Arabidopsis thaliana: one gene and its partner. The protein of the gene in region 1 interacts with the protein of each later gene in a pairwise test. Each region holds a gene or a part of one and is shown on either strand. Other genes may lie near its edges.

Region 1 (7,779 bases):
ACCACCCCCAACAACAACACTCCCGTCACCGTCTCTCTACCGTCAACACCGTCACCGTCAACAACTAACGGCGATCCCTAAGGCCCACCACTGCCACGGACTTCCACAAAAAAAAAAGAACCCAAAGTCTGAATCATGTTTTCCTCTGTTTCAGAAACTGGTTTGAGATTTGCAACAGAAAACTCTGAGAATCAGACACCAAGAGAGTGTCAGACCAATAGCAAAGACTTTCCCACACAGCAATCCAACAAGAACAATCACTATCAAACCAATCACTTTCGTTAGATCCTCTTTTGGTCCAGTCTCTTCTTCTTCTTCAACCTCTGTACAACTCTCTAAAAATGGCGGATTCGAACTCAAATCATCCCTCTCAGAGATTTCACTCCCGATTCTCTCATCTGAATACAAGCTAGAAACTTCTGTCATAGACCCTTCTTCTTCAGTTTCAAGTTCAACTTCTTCTTCTTCTTTTTCTTTGTTCTTCATCTTCTTCTTCTTCTTATAACTCCTTAGCTTCTTTGGCACAATCTTCTTCACAATCTTTGATTTCAGCTTCGCGCTTTTGCTTTTCTCAGTCTTAAACATAACATCTCTTATCGTCTGCATTTCTTTCTTCTCATCCACCACAAGTTTCGCCTTCTCCAATGACGACGAATCCGATTGAGGAGTGACTCTAATCTCCTCTCTAGGTTCTTCGATGATTTCAAAGTAGACATTGTTTCTTCTGTCATGCGTCGATGTTGATTCTTCTTCTTCTTCTAGCTTCTCTTTATGTCGCTTCCCTATGAGCTTATCGATCAAAGAATCTATCCGAATCTGCGCGTCGGGACAGAGATTCAAGTACGTGAAGACACGCGCCACCGCAAGCTCGAGGAAGAGAAGGGCAAAAGCAGAGAGCGTGATCCCCACGGCGAGCTTCTTCGTGCTCAAGGCAAGCACAGCCACCATAAAAACCTTAAACACCACCACTATCAAAACACACCCTCCTCCTCCTCCACCGCGATGACCACCGTCGTCTTCATGGATAATCTCCGGAACAGAAGTTTCCTCGATCTTTCTCACCAAAGGAGAATCCTCTGTAACCAAAGCTGGATCAAGCTTGGAAGGAAGAGACATACGACGCTGCAAAGACATATGAGGAGGAGGTGGAGACAAAACACGCGTTTCAGTCTGGGCTTTGTTGTTCTTGTTGTTACGTTTTGAAGATTGTTTTTTGAGACGATCGCGATTCTTAACAAAGAGATCGATTAAAGAAGTTGGGAAACCAGTTTCAACAACGAGAGATCCACCATGTTTAGGAGATTGTTGAAAGTCTGATACGAATCTAGAGATCCGACTAGATTTAGATTTCTTCCAAGGTAAAGGCATGTTGAAGGAAAGAAAGAAAAAAGGATTTAGACTTTTAAAATCTTTTTTTTGGTGATAAATCACCTCTCCGAAGAACCCAGAAAAAAGGGTTTGTCGAAGAGATAGAGAAGAAGATCTGGTTGGAAGATCAAAACCATTAATTAGACATTTTGGAGAGACAAATGCAATAAATGGAGAAGAAACCTCTTCCTGCCCTCTTTGCGCAGAAAGTGAAATGAGAGAGAGAGAGATATGATGAGGAAACCGCTAAAAAGACATTGCAGGACGACGCGTGCCTTAACCAATTATTTTACTTCCTTTTTTTTGTTACAAAAAATTTGTTATTTATTTCCATTTTTGTTAAATTTGTACAACTGTACTATGCAGTTTTTAAGATTTTACACTTTCTGCTGTACCAAAATATTACCTATGTCCATCTGACCGAAATTATTAAATTAATTCTAATAAAAAAATTCTAATAAAGCTGATCAATTTATTTATTTTAGACTTAAACTTTACAAAAACTAATTTATTCAGCTTAATTTCCCCAATATGTAAAAACATTAATGACTACAAGTATGGTATAACAGTAGCTTCAAAATCTTAATTCATTTATACCGAAGCAAAAGTGAATTTGGTAAACCGGTGAAAAAAACAAACCATTCCGAAACAGATTTAAGATTTTTGTTCAATTATATTTTGTAAGCAAACAAATTACATCGAACTAAACTAAACTAAACAACCGAAATATGCATCCATATTATTTGTGAACTAAACATGGTAAACCGGTAATAGCTATTTTAAGATCCTTACATTTTTAAAATTTGTCTAAAGATAATTTGAACAATTTCATCTATTGTTAAACCTATCAACGAATTGTGTCTATAGTTAGATGCTAAAAAACCTTCCTGATAGATTTTTTTTTGTTTGAACCGTTGATTCATATAATAAACTTAGAAGCAAGACATATAGTAATATTTTTTCACTTGAAAATTGATATTTATGCAACAGATTAACTATTCTAAAATCGTCATATTTATGAGTTGTTATTTGCCTGTAAGCCATTTACTTCTAATTTCTATTGTCAGCTTATCTAATTAATTTGGTGATTTGCTAAATAAGTAAAATTGCCTATTATTGGTGTGAAAAACAACAAAGGAAAATCCACTAATGACGCAAATTCGAATCTTTTGGTCTTTAATTTCAATATCCGAAGAAAAAAGGATCTAATCAATAATATAAAAAAGCGTAGAAAACAATTTGCCTTTATATAACTTTCACGAGTGATTTTGTAAATATTTTATAATTAATTAACAAAAATATCTAAGGAAAGATATTTGTTTTTGATTCGCTGTATAACAGCACATAAAGGAAACCAAATCGAAAAACTATCAGGGTAATATCAAAAACCAATAGAAGTCTAAGGACGAAAATGCAAATTATTTGAGAAACTAGAGAAAAAAGGAGGTAAACTATATATAGCCGATTACTACTCTCATTTGTTTTTATACCCCTCAATCATAAACAATAAACAGAGGGAGTCGCCAAATTTTCTCATCATTTTCTCGAGAAAATAGACTAAAAGCGATTCCCGAGAGAAAGAAAGAACAAAAAAAAAACATCCGAGTGAAAATGAGAGAAATTCTTCATATTCAAGGAGGTCAGTGCGGAAACCAGATCGGAGCTAAGTTCTGGGAAGTTATTTGCGGCGAGCACGGTATTGATCAAACCGGTCAGTCATGTGGCGATACAGATCTACAGCTTGAAAGGATCAATGTCTATTTTAACGAAGCTAGCGGAGGCAAATACGTTCCTCGTGCTGTTCTTATGGATCTGGAGCCTGGAACTATGGATTCTCTCAGATCTGGGCCGTTTGGTCAGATTTTCCGGCCTGATAACTTCGTTTTTGGTCAGTCTGGTGCTGGGAATAACTGGGCGAAAGGTCATTACACGGAGGGAGCTGAGTTGATTGATTCTGTGCTTGATGTTGTGAGGAAGGAAGCTGAGAACTGTGATTGTCTTCAAGGTGAGAGAGATACGCTTTCATTTTCTAGGTTTTCGTTTTCTGAATCTCGTTTGTGTTTTGATTTGTTAGCGTTTCCTGTTCCTGTATGCATTCGAATTCAGATCTGCTATTAGAAACTCCTTCATAGATGCTTTGTTTAGCGTTTGATTTCATTCTCTGATTGATGATTCATTTGTGGAGCAGGTTTTCAAGTTTGTCATTCTTTGGGAGGAGGAACTGGTTCTGGAATGGGAACACTTCTTATTTCTAAGATTAGAGAGGAATATCCAGATCGTATGATGATGACCTTTTCGGTCTTCCCATCTCCTAAGGTCTCTGATACAGTTGTTGAGCCATACAATGCTACTCTTTCCGTTCACCAGCTCGTTGAGAATGCTGATGAATGTATGGTTTTGGATAACGAAGCTCTTTACGATATCTGTTTCCGTACCTTGAAGCTTGCTAATCCTACATGTGAGATTTACAAACCATTTATTCTCTTGTTTTCTAATATTCATGTGATTGTAGTTTTGAAAATCCTGACATTGTTCTTCTTTCTTATGTGGTGGTGTATCTTAGTTGGTGACCTTAACCATCTCATCTCAGCTACAATGAGTGGTGTTACATGCTGTCTTCGGTTCCCTGGTCAACTAAACTCTGACCTTAGAAAACTTGCTGTGAACCTTATTCCTTTCCCACGACTCCACTTCTTCATGGTTGGTTTTGCACCTTTGACATCAAGAGGATCTCAACAATACAGTGCCTTGAGTGTCCCTGAGCTAACTCAACAGATGTGGGATGCCAAAAACATGATGTGTGCAGCTGATCCTCGTCATGGTCGTTACTTGACAGCTTCTGCTGTCTTCCGTGGAAAGATGAGTACCAAAGAGGTTGATGAACAGATGATGAACGTCCAGAACAAAAACTCCTCATACTTTGTTGAATGGATTCCAAATAACGTGAAATCAAGCGTCTGCGATATAGCTCCCACTGGTTTGAAAATGGCATCAACTTTCATTGGAAACTCAACTTCAATCCAGGAAATGTTCAGGCGTGTGAGTGAACAGTTCACTGCCATGTTCAGGAGAAAGGCTTTCCTTCATTGGTACACAGGAGAAGGAATGGACGAGATGGAGTTCACTGAAGCAGAGAGTAACATGAATGATCTTGTTGCAGAGTATCAGCAATATCAAGATGCTACAGTCGGTGAAGAGGAGTACGAGGAGGACGAAGAAGAAGAAGAAGCCTAAAGAAAAGATGATTGATTATTACTTTTGTAAGGCTGTAAGTTCGTCGCACTCATTTCCTTTTACCTCTTTTTCTGAATTGGGATTCTCTCTTTTTGTGCTTTGTGTGTTTTGTTATTGAATTTCTTTCCCAAACCTAAGATTTGTTCCAGAGTGTAATCACATTTGCCTATGCTTCTTTGTTTTGTCTATGAAAATATTTCAATGTCAAAAGCCTATACAATTTCTATGATCCAAAAAACTTGATAACCGGTACAAATAGATCCTACATCTCTGCGGTTTTAAGCTCTCCCTGCAATCTTTCTTCTTCTTCTTCTTCTGCTTCTTCCTCTTCTGCGATATCTGCCCAGCTTTTCTTTGATTCACTCTTCGGACCATCTGCTGTATCTTTGACGAATTCATGGAGATATTGAATCATGTTCTGGTCCAGTTTCTTTCGCTTCATGGGTTCTTCTTCTCCTCTCTCTAAGATCTTCATCTGTTCAGAGCCAAAAGGTTGTGGTTTTCCAAATAGTAGCTTTCGAGCAGCACCTCTCGTCTCTTCTTCAAACAATCTGCATCTGCGTGGTTGTGTATATAGACCTGCAGAGTTCGGTCTCACAGATGCTGGAGACGAAGAAACATCTGAGTAGTTCTTGTTTGCGGTTCCAGGAGCTATATTTTCCTTCATCCTATTCACAAATGAACATCCCGCGTAGAACTTCTCCGAAAGATCAGCTTCTGGCTTTTTCGATTCTATTTCTGCTAACATTTCGACGGCTCGGTCATAAGACTTTGCGAATGGTTCATCTCCGCATTCACTCTCTGCAGGAGAATCTCTTACATCATCAAGCAGAGATTTAGCTTCAGGAATTCGACTCATACGCATCAAGCAGATTGCAAGGTTACAGAGTTTGTTTTTGTCTCGCTCCAAACCCAAAGCTCTCCTGTTCATAATCAGTTGAATATAAGCAAAACTCACATGACCAGACAGTAATCAATATTTGGGATTTTGGTAACAAAACCAAACCTGTAATGCTGCTCTGCAATTCCATAGTTATGTAACTGTAAATGAACCCAGCCCAAGTTCCCTAGTATCCTAAAATGTTCAAACAACAATGGAAACGTCAATTCAAGAGACAAAACACTCATCAAGCTAACATGAGAATACACCGAAACTTTCTCACCTTGCTTTCTCTTGCTCGATAGTCATAATAACATGTTTTCCTTGAACCCTTTTTGCTCTACTGACTCTACCACCAAATCCCATTCCTTGTTCGAGTGTTTGCAGTTTGTGCTCAAGTAAAACAGCTTCTTCTTCAATTCTCCCTGACTTCTGCAAAAACACCAAAACCCATTTCCAAGTTATAACAACTCCATAACACTTGCTGCATTAACAAAGAAGGAGGCTGCATTACCTTGTAGAGCTCGAGTAGCAAGTTATCAATCGAGTCTTGAGACTCGAAAGAACAGAGATACCGAAAGGATTTAATAGCTTCAATCCCTTCATCAGATCGACCTAATTGTTTCATTACAACGGCCATATCCTTCAAAGCACTATCAACTCGATCTCCAGCGTTTATTGCAGTCCAAAACAATGATATAGCTCTGTTCGGATCTTTATCTATCAACTGTTCTTCCACATAAACAATATCCATTTGTTAGAAAACCTCAATCATAGACAGGTTCAAGAAGATCACTCAAAATTTGAAAAGCTTTTAAGAGATTTTATCACATGAGGAAGAATCTAGAATTCCTAAATTAGGTCAAAAGAAAAATTCCCCTGTCTTGTTTTCGCGGGAAAATTGATTATACCTGCGCGTGTTTGGCTCTGACGTAAGGAGAATCACCAGAAGGAACTTTATGAACAATGTGAAACGGATCACGTCTCTCCGACGACGAAGAACAAGAATACGGTGGTCTCCTCCTCTCCGTCATCGGCATCGCCGCCACATGATCACTTGTTCTCGCCGGCGGCGGAGTATAGTAAACTCCAGGTGGAGCACGACGCTCTACGCAGGGACACATTTTCTTTTTCGATTCTCTCTGTCAATTTACTCAGATAAAGTTCGAGAAAGCTTTTCCCAGAATTCAAATTCTCGTGTTCTTCAGAAATCGCCCTCGTGAAAAAGATCAAGAACGCAAATGCTTTGAAAACGAATCAGTGTCGTTGAAGAAGTGAGAAAGTGATAAAAATCACAAGGACTTGTATTTAAATAAACAAACTTTAACGTAGGGGCAAAAAGGGTAATCTACTGATCTAATCTTTAAACTTCAACGGACCAGTAGACTTGGAGACAAAAGGATCTTGTAAACATAAAGGTTCGATTTTATGGTTAATCTGCAAAAGCTCATGGCAAAAGAACTAAACGAGCTTTGAGTTTTATAGATGAACACGTCATCACATTGCTTGCAATATATATATTCTCTGGTAGATACTACTCTAGTCAAAGATCAGTCTTTTTCTTTTCTACATCTTCTTTCTTCCACTCCCAGATGACTTTATAAGGCTGCATTGAGCTTTCTGCAACATTCTCAACAGATGAAGCTTCCCGTCTAAAAATAGCTATCTGAGAAGCAAATCCGGGTTCTACTTCACCAGACCCACCAACACCGCTAAACTCGACGCTGTAGTTATGGCGTTTGCCGAGCTTTGATGCCCATTGATTGAACTGTTCTCTTGTCCACTCGAATTTGTGGTCATGGTTCCTGAACTTTGGAAGCTGTGGCTCCGAGTTGTTTTCTTCTTGGGTTTCTGGTGTAGACCGCTGGAGAATTGTGTTGAACTCGTAGTTTGGTGTTGAGACAATCAGGAGCTTGGGGTGGAACAAGCTCAGAACTTTTTCCCCAAATTCACAGGCTTGATCTTCTTCCATGTGTTCAATAACCTACAGATTAGGAACAGATTATAGATTTAACGCCGAAACCAGACAGATTGCTTTTGATAAACGTGTACAAAATTTGAAGGATTAGAGAGCAGATGAGAGGTGGACCTCTAAGCAAGTGCCGATGTCAACGTCATGCAGCCTGGAGTCAAACTCAAGGATGGAACCATCATAAAGTGTAGCAGATTTGACGTTGCAAGCTTCCTTGTTTAGTTTTACATGTAGCATCTAAAGTTGAAACACAAGATACACAAAAGCATAAGTAAATCTACCATTTCTTTTCAATTACACAAAATGCAGAGAATCATGAGTGGTG
Region 2 (8,260 bases), on another chromosome or scaffold:
TATGTTTGGCGTTGCTCATCTTATGGTTCTTGCTTGAATTGAGGAAACAGAGACAAGAACAGATTGGCTTCTTGGAATGATGATGTTGATGTCTAGGTTTGACATTGCCATGACGGGCACGAAGAGGTCTAATAAAGACAGGTCTTTTAACTCGGAAGCGGAAGAGAGAGACAAATCTGTTGCATGATTTCGAAAGCTTTGATTTGAAGTTAATCAAAGTTGCTTTCACTCTCATTGTCTTGAAGCTTTTTTGGTGATGATGTTGTTGTTGTGATCCTCTTTGGCTTCTTGTTTTGTTTTGGTGTGTATAAGGTTAGAGGATTGGCTTGTGTTGCGTGGAGTTCACGTCTTTGGGTGTGAAACTGATCATGATGGTGGAGTCCCATGAAGTTTTTAAAAACAATGGAGAATAGAAAAGGTTTTCTTATTGCAAATGTTTGGTGGCTCTTGCTTATAAACAAAATCCAATATGATGAGATAGTTTTGTTTTTGTATACTCAAAAAGTCGTTGATATATTGGTAGGTCAACATTGTTGAACATAAACCAGTCCCACGTCTAGTGAAAATATCTCCATTTTTTAAATATGAATAATCACTTGTGCTTATTTAAAGTAAGGATGGAAAATGTTTTATTTTGATTTTTGAATATCATTTTTTTCCTTCTCGAAGTTAAAAGATAAGTAGTTGCCAAAACATTTGATCTGGAAAGTGGAAATGTATAGAAGAAGAAAAAAAGTGTCCTCAAAATGTTCGGCGTTAGTGGACAAAGTAGACCAAAAAATTTCTCATATTCATTATTATGACTCAAAAGTTGATCCCACTTTATTCAGAGGAGAAAATGGAACATATTTGATTATCTTAATTTCATCATTTGTGTATCTGTATCACCTTAATATAACATAAAGTGCTACTATACTAAATTATTTCTACCTAAAAACTTAAGATAAGGTTCACACTTTACCAAATTCAAAGAAGCATCGAAATGAAACTATTGAACTTCATTATAACGTGTACTTTGAGTCTTTAACCTAGATAGATTCACATATGTTAAACTTTTAGTTGAATTGTGAAAACTTTGTTTTTATTTATTAAATTGATTTGTCCGTTTAGAAACGTTTTAATATTTTCAATCAAAAAGCATACTTCGAGGAAAAGAAGCTGTATTTTTCTTTTGTAATTGCCATTTGGTCAACCTTTTTGTGTATTCTTTAAAACTGTTTACATTTGCTACTGTTTTATAATTCGCTAATTACATTTTTCAGTTATTTTATCATTTCGATGAAGAGTAAAATCTCCATGAAATGATGATAGAAATCTGTCAGAAATCAGAAGCAACTGATTCTCTGTTTTATAATTATTTTTGTACTATTCCCTTAATTATATAATATTTTAGATAAAAGTTATGTTCTTATGATTTTCAGTTTTTCACCAAATACAATTTCAATTAGTCAACCAATTTTAAAAATTCACCATAAAATAAATTTATTAATTATGTGAGCACAAGCGTGTAAATGTGATGTCTCAAGTTGATGTTGATGATGAATGATGATGATACTAATAAAAGACATTCTTTAAGCTTTTTCTAGTAGTAGCCCCACTAGTTTCCAATTTTAATCTTCAGTTTCTTCTTTATCTGTCACATAGAGAACTTTGCTTTCTCACCTTCTTCTTTATCTAAGGAAACAAAAACAGAGTTTTCTTAAGAGAAATATCACAAACTTTTGTGAAAAAGAGAGAGACAAGATGGGGAATTACAAGTTCAGAATTTCAGAGATGCTCCCAAATGCATGGTTCCACAAGCTCAAAGACGTGACTAAACACTCTAAACCCAAAAACAAAGCTTCTTCTTCTTCCTCAAACACTTGTAGCAAGAAGAAACCTTCCTCAGATTCTCTTCCTCAACACTCTTATTTCTCCAACAGCTTAGTAGCTAACAATCCTCCTCACCATAACTCACCAAGAAACTCTCTTCACACAAAAAAGATGAGTAAAAGAAAGACACTTTACAAGCCATCCCTTAAACCTTTGACTCCTCCTCCTCTTCTTGTATCTGCAAGTTTCAACAAGAGCAAGATCAACGATCAAGATTCGTCTTACAGCTTGTTCCCGGCTATTGAAACCTCCCCTGAGTCTTTTGTGTATAGTTTCTACGAAGAGGATGATGATGATGAGTTCGTTGAATTTTCCAACTTCAAGATCAACACAAAGAACAAAGCTTTCACCAAGCAGAAGGTCAAAGTGATTGATTCGGTAGAGAAAGCTTGTACTGCAAGCAAGCCGATTAAGAAACCGCAGAAAAGCCATCTTTCTGTGAAAATTTCAAGAGATGAAGATGATAATGAATATAAAGCCGAGAAGAAGTACCAAAGGCAAGTTTCTAGTGGAAGAAAACCATCTGCTGGGATAAACCTCAAAAGAGTGAATTCACCTAGAATTCAACTCTCAGGTACTCGTAGAAGCACTTCTAGAAGATCAGAGAGCAAACAAGATGTTCTAGAGAGCTTCGCTGTGATGAAGCGGTCCGTTGATCCAAAGAAAGATTTCAGGGAATCAATGATTGAGATGATAGAAGAGAACAACATCAGAGCTTCGAAAGACTTGGAAGACCTTCTTGCTTGCTACCTTACTTTGAATCCAAAGGAGTATCATGATCTTATCATCCATGTTTTCGAACAAATCTGGCTTCAACTTACAAAAACAAAGTAAAGAAAAAAATAATTCTTAATGTAATAGTAGTTAACCTAATGGTGAAAGTAATTAGTATCATTCTGCTTGTGAAATTGTAGTTGTTGACTTGTTGTTGATGTTCATAAGAAGTTAGATGGAACTGTGGAGATTCTCTCTTTGAATCCCACTTTTTATGTATTGTTTTCTTTATTTATCTTTTTGGAAAATGTAAGCAAATAATAAAAGTTGTTATCATATTGTCGTTTTAATACAAACATGATCACTAAGGGCGTGAAAACACTGTTAATTAAGACAGATTTTTTTATCACTAATTAAACATATTCTTGTCTTCTCTATGATTATGAACATATAAAACTACTCACAAAAGATGATGCTTCAAGATTTGATTATTTCTTAGAATATGAAGATGGATTAATTGCGCCAATATCATTTGAATATTTTGAAAATACAAAGTTGAAAATGGCGGTAAACAGCAACAAGAAAAAGACAACAGTGAAGAGACATGAACAATTTGAAAACGCAACAAGTACGGAGTTTATATATATGCATGAAGAACATTGGATAATCGTTGAAGGTAGAGAGAGGACCACTGACACATAAAACTGAGATGTGATTAAAGAAGAAAGAAACAGTGATGAGATTTAATCCTTAAGGGTTTTTTTTTTTCTGTGAAGAAGGGAAGAATGAACTCATGAAGAAGAAGAAGAGGACCACTGTTGCAAATTCCATCCCCTACCACAGTTGGCTTATGAAGTTTCAGCAAAAGACATGTGATATGGTATGGTTTCTGACTTCTGAGTGAACATAAGCAACAAATATTCAAATCAATGGGCCTAAATGATCTTGCAGTTTTGGATTATAAAGTTAAGAATTAAAAAGAATAGGTGATATATGTATCATAATTTTAAGTTTTAAACAAGTATGTCAGACAAAATTCTACATTCTAATTTTATACATAGATATGAGATAACCTCATAACCATAAACTACACCAAATTTTCATGAACAAAATATGATTCACACGAACTTTTTTCTATCTTGATCACCTAGCTAACTTGACAAATTAGTTGTTCGTCTAAAACTACACAAACATTCAAAGTTCGTTTTAAATTCAATATATTTAAAAATAACAGTTAAAGTTTTATTAAATGGCATTCCAAATATTGATTCCTTCTAGAAAATTTGTGTGGTTTTAAATTGTGAAATTTGGATCTAGAAAAAATAGCAAGTGTGGTTTCTTGTGACCTATGGTTGTTAGTGTAGTTGTATACCATTTTTTAAAGTTACATTGTAATTTGTAAACCATTTTTGTGTGGTTGACAAAAAAAAAACCTATGACAAAATTGCTCCGTTTTTATTTTCAATAACAAATTATAATGTAAATTAATATGTATCATAGTGTTTTTAATAAAAATATTTAAAATTAGGATTGATTGTTCTGAAAAAAATAACGCAACTAATACTTTGTTAGCAAATACTAACGTTTACGTACCAAAAAAGCATTATGTAAATCCATTCATCCATCATTGTATACTTGACTTTCTACATTATTCTTTTGTTGTATCAAATTTAAAATTAATGAATGAACTTGACATAATAAAACACAAAATATATACTTAAATTGTACGATATAAAAGTTTGATTTACATATTTTATATCTATAAAAAAGGGTAAATAAATGAAATAAAACTTTTTTTTTTTTTTTTGTCAAAGAAATGAAATAAAACTCAAATTACATTTTTATGTCGTAATGCGAGCACACAAGTGAGTGCATATCCAGTATTAAGTTTTTTTTTTAATAATTCAGAATTGAAAGCAAAGGAAAAAGAAGAAATCGAAATCGGAAACTGTATATTGTTGTTCTTCGATTCCTCCTCGCTCTACGCCGCGTCCTCTCTCTCAAATTCATCGGAAGCAACCTTCTTCTCCCATCATCGCCTGGTTCGTTTCTAAACCCTACTTCTTCTATTTCACAGTATATCTTCCTTTAATTTTCAATCGAATCTAGCTTTGTGTCGATCTCAATGTAGATCGGAATCAAGTAAAAGAAATCGATGAATTCCAAAATGTTCCCGATCTATTGCAATGCACGAATCGTAGAATTATCACCTACATTAGTCTTGATCTAATCGCCCTATTTCAATTTCAAATTCGACATCGAAGTTTAAAGGAGATCGCAAAACCTAGTTATAGAATCGTTGCGTTTGAGTTGTTTCGCTGGTGATGTAGAAACCCTAATTTTGGTTGTCCTGTGTTTGGTACTTGCTCAGAATCCAATGGCAACGATAAGGAACTTGAAGATAAAAACATCAACATGTAAAAGGATTGTGAAAGAGCTTCACTCTTATGAGAAAGAAGTTGAGAGAGAAGCGGCTAAGACTGCTGATATGAAGGACAAAGGTGCTGATCCCTACGACCTTAAACAACAGGTACAGATTTCATTGTTTATCTCTCTGTATTCGAAGATTCGGAGCCCGTCTTTGTTCGTCAGAATCTAGAAATGCTGTGTTGTGCTGTGTTTAGACTTGGTTTTTCCTAATCTGTGTATGTGGTGATGCAGGAAAATGTGTTGGGTGAGTCTAGGATGATGATTCCGGATTGCCACAAACGTCTCGAGTCTGCATTGGCTGACCTCAAGTCCACTTTGGTAAACTACATTTTCCATTGTTATTGCTTGCTAAGCGTCGGTCTAGCTTTATGTATTAGTTTATAAGAAACGCTGAGCGGTGATTTGAAGTTTAAGAGCAGTAGTACATTATCAAACTATAACTTTTATATGTATCTATAGCGATTGGATTAATCCCCTGCATGAAACCATCTTAGTCTCTCTTTGAGGAAAAATGATGAATAAGGACACAGAGGAAACTGTGAATTCGTACTCTGTCTTTTGTCTCTAATGAAAACTGAATTTGCAGGCGGAATTGGAAGAGACGGATGAGAAGGAAGGTCCAGAGATCGAAGATGCAAAGAAGACAGTCGCGGATGTGGAGAAGCAGTTTCCCACTGAAGATGCCTGATTTAGCCAGCGATGAGTGTTAAATCTGTATTCTGAGAATGGTTAATCATCTGTAAGAATCTTTATATCTAAGGTTGCTTGTCGACTGTATACACTAAAAATATCTTTCTTTAACATTTTGGTGATTGTTCTTTCATTCAATATCTTTGAAATGGCACACTTGCTATAATGTGTTGTAAGCTGCAACTTAACGATTGATAATTGATATAACTTTGACAACCATGATTGTAAACTAAGTGAAGATTAAGAGCACGGATTTAGAAAAGGTGATCTTATTCTAATTTGTTTTGCGAAGAGATTCAACAATTTCTGAACCATTTATATGATGAGAAGACATTCAAGATTTGTTCTACTTTTATGATTGAAAGCTTTTATTTTGATTTCTTTACAATTTTAGATTTTCTTGGAGATTAAGAGGAGAAGTAGAAAAAAAGGGAGAATTATTAAGACGTCGTCGTTTGTGAGAAAAATAGTCAGAGTTTCTCATAATCCAGTATCTCTCAATCTCATTTGCCTTTCTTCCTACGACTCTTCCTGCTATTAAATCCCACCTGACAATCAATATTCAAGCATATAATGTGTTTTTGAATTATAGACGAGCACAAAATTCTGAAAAAACATTTATCAAAATTCAGGAGTCAACATATATAATGCAGAAATGAAATTTAAAATGTATATATATAAAGACAATAATATTCAAGAGCCAATATATTATTCAATCCTTTCACTGTTTTTAAAATCATCACACTTTAAGAAAAGAAGAAATTTTAGTTTCTGTTAATTATACATTTTATCAGTTTATCAACAACATAAAACTTTTTTTGAAATTATACAAGTAAAATACTCATGTCATTGCTTAAATATTGGCATGTCATTTTTCTCGAAACACGTTCGAAAGTCTAAACTACTCTAGAATCATGTTTACCATAACATAACACTTTATCAGCTTTGATTTGTTACTCTCGCCATGTGAATTTTTTTTAAATTATAAAATACTAGTTTTTTTTTTTTTTTTTTTAATTTTATAAAATACTAGTTGTTTTTAAAATATGTTGAATCGGACATGACAGAAGAAGAGAATTTGTTACCTATTACCGACAAGTCTGTACATTCGAGAGATGAGATCTTCTTCTTGTTCGGTCATACTGATAAACTCCCATTCGATGCTACTCACTTCTGCATTTTTGTTTCGTTTTATCCAAACAAAAATTAAATGAGAAGATAATTTAACGCTGACGAGTTAGGAGGATGAGTGTAGAGTAATGAATTGAAGAGAGACCTTCAGAGTCATATCGGGATCGAGTGAACTTAGTTTGCCTAAGACTGGGACCGCGACGAAGACGAAGACGGTTGGTATTATCCATAACTACTGGAAAATAGAAGAATATTAGATAAATTTACAGAGAAACTGAAAATGTAGAGTTTGGAGAATGCAAGATATAGAAAAGATGTGAGGGAAAAAAATAGTTATATAAAAAGAGAGAGAGAGAGATAGGTGATTTATTTTTTATTGGAATTTCTACGTATATATTCCTAAATTTATAATTCACATTTTTGTTTTTATATATCCCGATCGAATACGTCAAAACATAATTTCGTGATACGTTCGATTTGTTTTTTACTATTCCAAAAAGTTCATAATGCTCACAATAAATTTTGATCAGATTTTGTTTCTGACCTATAACAGAACATTTTAACAGTCACTAAAATGGCGTGCTAGTTTTATTTTTTTGCCTAGTAACGTATTAAAATCGAGTGAAAAACATCACATGCAAATACACTTCTCAATAAATATTATGAACACGTAATCCTACAAGTTCTAATTTAAAATCACAGTTTTTCTTTTTATATTTTAGAAATTTTTACGGACGGAGATGGCTGTGGAATGTGGATGTACATAATCTATAATTTTATTTTACAGTTCTCCAATAACATTAGGTGAAATTTTTTCCCCGAAATTTTCGACTTCGTGAAAATTGGACAAAAAAAGTCCATAAACCGTTAATTTCGTGTTGTGATATAGATTTGTGGGTCGTAAATAATACTAGCAAAATCCAACAAAACTTTTGTTTTCTTGTGCTTTTTTCTCTTTAGATTTTTTTGTGTGTGTCTAATTTTACATATGCATGCCCTACAGATAATTCCTATTTATGCATCTACAGAACTCAATTATCGTCTCAGTGATAATAAATGCAGTAACTGTAAGAAACGGACGTATCAATTTCTTTTCCTGACAGATTGAAAGTTGTCTTAGAGAAATCGGTACTTATATAATGAGCATATCATTTTCTCAGCGTGAAATCAGAATGAACCATTTATGATTTTACCCACTATATATTAAAGAAGTAGGTTAGGAGAAAATTGATCCTACGTGGTACGTATTAGCTAAGACCAATTCAAAAATATGAAATTCCTCTAATTTATCATTATGTGATCATAATACTGGATATATATAAATTTATCGACAAGCATTCGTTAACAAAAGGAAAGTTATCGACAACATTCAGTATAACAAATTTTCAGTCATGGACTAGAACGACTTCATTGAAACATGCTT

Evidence for each region. The genes of interacting proteins can lie anywhere in the genome.
Region 2: the proteins of TUB9 (region 1) and KIS interact in binary tests that used the Arabidopsis thaliana proteins (3 or more experiments, as listed by UniProt).

What each region holds. Positions count from the first base shown.
Region 1 is NC_003075.7:11,179,239-11,187,017, forward strand, and holds TUB9 (tubulin beta-9 chain), read left to right. Parts: upstream 1-2,853; 5' UTR 2,854-2,979; coding exon 2,980-3,373; intron 3,374-3,556; coding exon 3,557-3,826; intron 3,827-3,931; coding exon 3,932-4,602; 3' UTR 4,603-4,864; downstream 4,865-7,779. Other genes in the region: AT4G20880 (ethylene-responsive nuclear protein / ethylene-regulated nuclear protein (ERT2)), read right to left, coding at 151-1,368; MS5 (Tetratricopeptide repeat (TPR)-like superfamily protein), read right to left, coding at 4,865-5,525, 5,561-5,677, 5,766-5,914, 5,997-6,209, 6,394-6,606; HEN1 (double-stranded RNA binding protein-related / DsRBD protein-like protein), read right to left, coding at 7,026-7,466, 7,572-7,691. UniProt on the Arabidopsis thaliana protein: Tubulin is the major constituent of microtubules, a cylinder consisting of laterally associated linear protofilaments composed of alpha- and beta-tubulin heterodimers.
Region 2 is NC_003071.7:12,954,849-12,963,108, forward strand, and holds KIS (tubulin folding cofactor A (KIESEL)), read left to right. Parts: upstream 1-3,267; 5' UTR 3,268-3,466; exon of another isoform or gene 3,467-3,487; intron 3,488-4,350; exon of another isoform or gene 4,351-4,393; intron 4,394-4,440; exon of another isoform or gene 4,441-4,494; 5' UTR 4,495-4,628; intron 4,629-4,957; 5' UTR 4,958-4,963; coding exon 4,964-5,116; intron 5,117-5,247; coding exon 5,248-5,334; intron 5,335-5,602; coding exon 5,603-5,704; 3' UTR 5,705-5,920; downstream 5,921-8,260. Other genes in the region: OFP17 (ovate family protein 17), read right to left, coding at 1-235; OFP2 (ovate family protein 2), read left to right, coding at 1,744-2,706; ETC2 (Homeodomain-like superfamily protein), read right to left, coding at 6,089-6,254, 6,792-6,879, 6,983-7,067. UniProt on the Arabidopsis thaliana protein: Tubulin-folding protein involved in the control of the alpha-/beta-tubulin monomer balance. Functions as a reservoir of bound and non-toxic beta-tubulin. Required in the developing embryo.